2 linked regions of the Oryctolagus cuniculus genome follow. The protein of the gene in region 1 binds, or shares a complex with, the protein of each later gene. Links are inferred from orthologs where the notes say so. Each region holds a gene or a part of one and is shown in the gene's direction. Other genes may lie near its edges.

Region 1 (3,804 bases):
TGGTCTTTGGAAAAACTGGACAACCGGTTGTTGGATATGCGAGACCTTTACCAGGAGTGGAAGGAATGTGAAGAAGATACTCCTGTAAGTTACTTTAGAAAAATTCCTGAGCTGGCACTCAGAGGAGGAACAAGCCCACTCACTCCAAGGGCAGAGAGTTCATTTTTCCAAGTGGTAGTCCTGCTTCTACAGTGAAATTTATTTAAATTCTTTAGATTATTTGGCAAATTAAGACCTTTAGTAACTGGTTTTCTGGCACTGCTCTCCTTGTTTCTGGTCTGTAGTTCTAGCAGAAGTGTCTGCTTTTCATGCTGCCCTCTGCTGGTGCGCACGCGCGTGTGTGCGTGTGTGCGTGTGTTCTGTGAAAGGACATTTTCCCTGCTTCTCAGCACATTGAATCTTACAAATGATAAACCTACAGCGTGCGTTTTTAAAATTGAACACCAGTGTTAACCTTAAGATTTTCACTGTTGGGATCAGTTTTTGAAGGAGTTTGATCTTAAAGTAGGTGCCATCGATCTGTATGCTGGTATTGTTTTCTCACATTGCAGTATGTCATTTAGGTCAGCCGTGTACTTGGCATATTTCAAATAGGAATGTGCTTTGAGTACTGCTGGTCTGTTTCTGCATACATGTTGACTAGCTTCTTGGTTCATAAGAAGGTGTGTTTTTCCAGATGACCATCAATGACGATGACTTCTGATAGGTGACGTTTTTGCTTAAAATGTTTTTTGTTCTCTTCTGTATTCCTCTGCCGTTTCAGCTTATAAACAAAACAGCCATAACAAATGCAGAGAAGCATCCACTCTCCCCCAGGGTCACCCCTCATTTGCGGCAGCAGGAGTGTGTCTAATGATTGGGTAGCAGGAAATGGGACAGACATGAAAGGGCCCTCTTCCCTCAAAGGAAGTGTGGTCCACTCTGCTTTTTTTTTCTAGCCAATATCTGCCTCACTGTTTTTGCGGCAAGATTTCCACATAAAGGAGTAGTGATAAATTGGTCACACGTCATTGGGACTGCCCTTGAGTGGGTGAAGAATGCTGACCACCTTCCTGAGTGGGAATGAGGAAGTGTGTGTGTGCCCATGCAAATGAAGAATACGGTGCTGTTCTCTAGTATTATTGTTGTTAGATTTATTTACTTACTTTGAAAGCCAGAGTTAGAGGAAGAGACAGAGATCTTCCATCCACTGATTCTCTCCCCAGGTGACTGTAACAGGCCAGGAGCTTTATCTAGGTCTCCCATAGGTGGCAGGGGCCTAAACACTTGGGCCATCTTCTGCTGCTTATCCCAGGCCATCAGCAGGGATCTGGATTGGAAGTGGAGCAGCTGGCTTTGTCCTCTGTGCCACAGTGCTGGCTCCAGTGCTGTACTTTAGCTATAAGTTGATTTACTCTAAACACTACAAGAGTTGGGGCTGGCATTGTGGCGTGGTGGGTTAAGCCACTGCCTGTGATGCCAATGTCTCATGGTCACCAGTTTGAGTCCCAGCTGCTCCACTTCTGCTGCCATGCCTGTGGGAGAACTGGATGCAACTCCTGGCTTGTGGCCAGTTAGGGAGTAAACCAGTGGGTGGAAATTGTCTCTCTGTGTCTTTTCCTGTCTCTCCGAGCTTCTGACTCTCAAACAAATCTGAGAATCTGAGTTAAGGTCTAGTGATGAAAGTGACGTCTGCTGACTAAAACTGGAGTGTGTCCAAAAGCAACAGCTTGCATTCCTTTACTTTAAGTGACTCTTCTAAAGTTGTATGTTCCTAATCTCTACAGGTAATACGCTCTTACTTCAAGCGTGCTGATCCATTCTATGATGAGCAGGAAAATCACAGCCTCATCGGGGTGGCCAATGTTTTCCTAGAGTCCCTTTTTTATGATGTGAAGTTACAATATGCTGTGCCAATTGTCAACCAGAAAGGAGAGGTGGGTTTTCTCTTCAGACCTTGTTTTCTGCAGGGAACAGTTCAAGAAACAATAGGGTGCTTATGGTATGTTGTTACATTGTTTCAGTAATGGCAAATGATATGCGAAGTGTATTATTCGTACCTTGTATTTCCATAGGGCTTTGAGGAGAGAGTAACCATTAGGTTTCTAAATTCTTTCAGTTGTCCCTCTTTATCCTTGGGAAGCAGGTTCCATGACCCATAATGGATGCCTGAAATTGCAGTTGGCACTCACTGAACCCTACATAAATATGCATACCTTACGATTCAGTTTAATATGTAAATTTGGCATTGTAAGAGATTAACAATGAGAACTAATAAAATAGTGTAACAATATATTAAAAGTTAAGTGAATGTGGTCTCTCTCAAAACATGTTGTTTGCTTTCACCTTTTGAAGCACTTTGTGGCTTCTCTTTAGCATATCTGAATTGCCAGCCTCAGTACTCTGGTGCTTTGGAGCCATTGTTAAATAAAAGAAGGGCTCCTTGAACACAAGCACTGTGATACTACAGCAGTGGAATTGGTAACTAGATATGTACTGAGTGACTAGTGGATGGGTAGCACATGTGGTGTGGTTACGTAGGACAAAAGGGGGATTTGCATCCTGGGTAGGATGGAGCAGGATGGTGCAAGATGTCATCACACAACTTAAAACGATATGCAGTTTGAAACTTAGAAGTTGTTTCTTGAATTTTCCATCTAGTATTTTTGAACCTCAGTTGATTGGATAACTGGAACCACTGGGTTCTAGTTCAGTTGATTGGAAACTAGAGGACCACTGTACTGTTAACATAATGACTTTAAAGCAGAAATCATCTTAAGGAAAGAACCAGATCTGGAAGAGCTGTGTTTTCCTATTGCTCTAGGTGGCAGGTCGGCTGCACGTAGAGGTGATGCGAATCAGTGGTGAAATTGGGGAAAGAATTGCAGGTGGTGATGAGGCCACAGATGTATCCTTTGAGAAGGAGGCCCAGGAGAACAAGCTGGTGTGCATGGTGAGTCACAGTCGTATTTTGGAATAGTTGAAATATATATATTTCAATATATATATATATTCAATGTATATATAAATATAAATATTTATTGAGTTCTTACCTGGAGTTTGAAAGTATTTGTAAACACATCTTTAATTTTCTAGAAACCATGTTTTGTCCATGGATCCTGAAACAGTGGTGTGGTGGCTTCAAGTCCATGACTCAGACGCTGTGGACAAGTCACCCCTTCTGTAATGTGGGTCTGTTGATTCACATTTCTCTGTAGAGAAACCCAGATTCTCACACCACTTTCCTCTTCATCTTGGGCGCTCTTAGTTCCTCCTGAAGCTGGTGGTTTATCCCAGCACTCACCCTGTTCCTAAGCCACTCCCATTCGTCACTCCTCATGGCTTCACCACACAAATACCTTTTCTTACGGTGTTCCCTGTGTTGTTCCCACATGGCCCGATGCCAGACCCTTTAGTTCTGCTGTTGCCATGCATTCCAGTTGTGAAATGTGTGTTTCCCGTGAGCTCTCAGATACCAGAGGCAAACAGATGTACCCGAGATCCTAGCACTGTGTGTAGAGCTGGGGACCAGATGTCGTGACTTCAGATAGCAGGCTTTGAGGAAGATTTCGGGAAGAACTCTGTAGCTGCTGTAGGTTTTCATGGGTGATTGCTAGGGAGGCCATGGCATTTCTGGCACTCCCCACTAATTGTGGCAGTGCAAAAATCTACATTTCCAAATATCCCCTGTGGACAGCACTGCCACTAGTTGAGAATTCCTGTGGAAACCATTAAAAAGGGTTTTGAGGGTAAGAAGTCAACCAGGGACACGGGGAAAAATTGCGGAAGTTAGAAGGAGGCCATTAAAGGGCCAAGGAAAGAAAG
Region 2 (3,804 bases), on another chromosome or scaffold:
GCGAGGGCTTCCTGTGGAAACGCGGCCGGGACAACGGGCAGTTCCTGAGCCGGAAGTTTGTGCTGACGGAGCGGGAGGGGGCCCTGAAGTACTTCAACAAGAATGACGTGAGCAGGGGACACACGCATGGGTCTTGTGTGAAGGTCGGGCCGCCCCACGGGGTTGGGGGCCACGGATCGTGGGCGGGCAGTGGCGGCCTGGGTGCCTGCCCTCGGCCTTATGGCCGTGCAGAGCCCACGGGGGCCTCGTGGCCACACCCCCTCAGCAGAGCCAGCCAGGACCCCCGAGCCAGTGCGCATCGGGGGCCCTGGGGACCCCGGGGGGTGTCGGTGAGGAGCGCCAGCCCCTTGTGCCCACCCCGCCGGCCTCAGCCTTGCCCTCCCCCCCAGGCCAAGGAGCCCAAGGCCGTCATGAAGATCGAGCACCTGAACGCCACCTTCCAACCGGCCAAGATCGGCCACCCGCACGGCCTGCAGCTCACCTACCTGAAGGACAACAGCACCCGCAACATCTTCCTGTACCACGACGACGGCAAGGTGGGCGCCGGGAGGGGCCGAGGCCCCGGGCGGGAGCAGCCGAGGCCGCGGGCGGGAGGGCGGACACCGGGAGGGGCCGAGGCCGCGGGCGGGAGGGTGGGCGCCGGGAGCGGCCGAGGCCCTGGGCGGGAGCAGCCGAGGCCGCGGGCGGGAGGGCGGACACCGGGAGGGGCCGAGGCCGCGGGCGGGAGGGTGGGCGCCGGGAGCGGCCGAGGCCCTGGGCGGGAGCAGCCGAGGCCGCGGGCGGGAGGGCGGGCACCGGGAGGGGCCGAGGCCCCGGGCGGGAGCAGCCGAGGCCGCGGGCGGGAGGGCGGGCACCGGGAGGGGCCGAGGCCGCGGGCGGGAGGGTGGGCGCCGGGAGCGGCCGAGGCTGTCCCTGGACAGCGGCACCCAGCCCTGCCCCTCGCCGCCCTGGCCTTCCTGGGAGCCCCTCCTCGGGCAGAGGCCACGGCCCGTGGCTCCCCTCTCTCCCGCTCTGCTCTCGGGGACGTCCCCCGGGCTCGTGCCCGTCGGCGGCGTGGCTTCTGCGAGCTCTCGAGGCTCAGGGTCCCCCAAGCTTCCTTGTCTCTGCTCAGCTGGCTCCCGGTGTGGGGGAGCTGGGCCTGGCCAGGGCCCAGAGACGGCCTCGGTGCGACGCTGCCGTCACCCGTCCCAGGCCCACTCCGGGAGGACCTGGTGCTCCGGGCCGTGCGGTCTCCCTCCTCCATCTGGGTGGCCCAGTGCCGAGCCAACCTGCAGCCAGGGGTGGGAGGGGACTTCCTGTGGCTGGAGGGTCCGGAGGAGGCGGTGGGCACCTGCTCTCCCCTGGGTGGGTGGTGTGGCAGGCGGCCGCCTAGGGCCTGCGGCCGAGGCCGATGAGGAGAGGTGGGCTGGCCGGGCCCTCAGGTTGGGACCACCTAGTGCTGGCTGGGTGTCATGGTCCGTGGTGTGGCCCTGGGAGATGAGAGGTGGGGTCCAGAGGGGCCCGGGCAGCCCTGGGCCACAGCCTCGCTCCATGTGGCCTGGCCCCCGAGAACCAGGCGGCCTCCTGGCCTCAGCCCGGTGGGCACGTCCTGGCCATGTGCGCCCCTGCCCGGGCCCCACCCGCGGCCCCCTCGTTCGCCCGAGCCCACCGTGCGCCTGCTCTCGGCCCCTAGGAGATTGTGGACTGGTTCAATGCGCTGCGGGCCGCCCGCTTCCACTACCTGCAGGTGGCCTTCCCCGGGGCCAGCGACGCAGACGTGAGTGGGCGGGGGCGTGTGGCGGGCCGGGGCGGGGGGGGCGCGCGGGGGGGGGGGTGGCCCGGCCCCGCCCTCACCGCCCTCATGTCCTAGCTGGTGCCGAAGCTCTCCAGGAACTACCTGAAGGAAGGCTACATGGAGAAGACGGGGCCCAAGGTGGGTGCAGGCCGGCGGCCCCGGGAGCCCCTGCCGGGGGTGCACAGGGCAGGGCCGGGCAGGGCTGGGCTAGGGCAGGGCCAGGCTGGGGGTGCACAGGGCAGGGCCGGGCCGGGGTATGCAGTGCCGGGGGTGCACAGGGCAGGGCAGGGCAGGGCAGGGCCGAGCTGGGGGTGTGCAGGGCCGAGGGTGTGTAGGGCAGGGCTGGGCTGGGCCGCGCCGCCCCCTCATGACCGCCCCTGACCCGCAGCAAACCGAGGGCTTCCGGAAACGCTGGTTCACCATGGACGACCGCCGGCTCATGTACTTCAAAGACCCCCTGGTGAGGGGCTGGGCCGGGGGGGGGGGGCGCCTGGCAGGTGGGTGGGGGCGGGAAGCAGGCTCGAGCCCAGCCCTGTCCTCTGGCTCCGCCCACAGGACGCCTTCGCCCGTGGGGAGGTCTTCATCGGCAGCAAGGAGAGCGGCTACACGGTGCTGGGGGGGCTCCCGCCGGCCACCCAGGGCCACCACTGGCCGCATGGCATCACCATCGTCACGCCCGACCGCAAGTTCCTGTTCACCTGTGAGACGGAGGCGGACCAGCGGGAGTGGGTGCAGGCCTTCCAGAAGGTGGTGGACAGGCCCATGCTGCCCCAGGAGTATGCAGGTGAGGCGGGGGCGTGGCCAGGCCTGCGGGGTCCGTGGGGTGGGGGCGTGGCCAGGCCTGTGGGGTCCGTGGGGTGGGGGCGTGGCCAGGCCTGTGGGGTCCGTGGGGTGGGGGTGTGGCCAGGCCCGCGGGGCACCCCTGCCCGTGTGGCTGGGACCAGGCCAATGCCCGTTCTGTTTCTAGTGGAAGCCCACTTCAAGCATAAGCCCTAGCGCGCAGCACCGCCCACCTGGGGACCACAGACTCACGTGGCTGACGTGGCTGAGGAGCTGGAGGCTGGACCAGGGAGGGGCTGTGGACGCAGGGAGCCCGGCCAGGTAGGGTCTGGGCCGCATCACGAGCAGACTGCCCAGGCGACCCCTGGCTTGGAGCAGGGCCCCGTGGGCCTGGCACTGGGACTCTGCCCCTCCCCTGCCCCGCCCCCCCCTCAAGTATTTATTGTGCACCTGCTGTGGTCCTGGAGCCTGGGCCGTTGGCCCTGGTCCCCACACTGACCCAGCCCCGGTCCTGGGGACCCTCTGCTGGCTGGAGGCCCCCACCCCCCGGGCCCCTGGCTTGGCAGACGGGTTGCCCAGCCCTCGCCTGTGGGGACCCAGTGGCCTGCGTGCCAGACACTTGGTGCTGATGATGGCCGGTGCCCGCCCGCCCGCCCACCCTCACTGCTGGCCCCGCACCCAGCTCACCCCTCCCTGCTTGCTGCTGGTGGGCCAACGGTGGGGGCCGCGGTGTGCGCGCCCTGTGCCCCAGCTGCACAGAGCACCCCTGCAGGTGACCGGGGTGGACCCCTCTCAGCCCTGCCTGGCACGACTGGGGGGGAGCTGCGCCCCCGCCCCGCCCCTCGTGCCACGTCCACTACCGCCCAGGCCAGACTGGGCCCCAGGTGTGTCGAGTGCACACACGGGCAGCCCCGCGTGGGGGCAGTGCGTGGGAGGACGTGGACAAGCGTGATACGAAGCCCAGGATGTGGCTGTGCTGGTGGGGAACCCCGGTCTGGACCCAGGACATCACGCGTGTCGGAGGTCTCGCGGCGTCCCGAGGTGTGGGGGCAGGAAGGGCCGGCTCTGTGCGGCCGCAGCCATGGGTGGCCCCGGGCCCTCGCTCCCCCACCCCAGGACCCTGGCCGCCGGGGCCGGGCGCACGCGCTCAGAGGACCCTGGCCGCCAGGGCGGGCGCGCGCGCTCAGAGGACCCTGGCCGCCGGGGCCGGGCGCGCGCGCTCAGAGGACCACGCTGCGAGCCGGTAGAAA

Evidence for each region.
Region 2: the proteins of KIF13B (region 1) and ADAP1 are in contact, whole or in part, in a crystal structure (PDB 3MDB), measured with the Homo sapiens proteins. The link is inferred for Oryctolagus cuniculus from reciprocal best matches to the Homo sapiens genes KIF13B and ADAP1. Residues at the interface, in NP_056069.2 of Homo sapiens: Val451, Asn452, Leu453, Asn454, Ala455, Asp456, Pro457, Leu463, Arg512, Phe514, Asn516, Gly517, Arg531, Leu533, Asn536, Asn537, Phe539; in NP_006860.2 of Homo sapiens: Trp137, Asn143, Gly144, Gln145, Phe146, Leu147, Pro186, Ala187, Lys188, Ile189, Gly190, His191, Pro192, His193, Tyr211, Glu213.

What each region holds. Positions count from the first base shown.
Region 1 is NC_091433.1:44,892,396-44,896,199, forward strand, and holds part of KIF13B (kinesin-like protein KIF13B), read left to right. Parts: coding exon 1-84; intron 85-1,766; coding exon 1,767-1,916; intron 1,917-2,803; coding exon 2,804-2,932; intron 2,933-3,804. UniProt on the Homo sapiens protein: Involved in reorganization of the cortical cytoskeleton. Regulates axon formation by promoting the formation of extra axons. May be functionally important for the intracellular trafficking of MAGUKs and associated protein complexes.
Region 2 is NC_091450.1:36,357,166-36,360,969, reverse strand, and holds part of ADAP1 (arf-GAP with dual PH domain-containing protein 1), read left to right. Parts: coding exon 1-107; intron 108-389; coding exon 390-536; intron 537-1,672; coding exon 1,673-1,756; intron 1,757-1,849; coding exon 1,850-1,912; intron 1,913-2,162; coding exon 2,163-2,234; intron 2,235-2,329; coding exon 2,330-2,558; intron 2,559-2,741; coding exon 2,742-2,770; 3' UTR 2,771-3,804. UniProt on the Homo sapiens protein: GTPase-activating protein for the ADP ribosylation factor family. Binds phosphatidylinositol 3,4,5-trisphosphate (PtdInsP3) and inositol 1,3,4,5-tetrakisphosphate (InsP4). Regulates the incorporation of CD63 and CD9 into multivesicular bodies.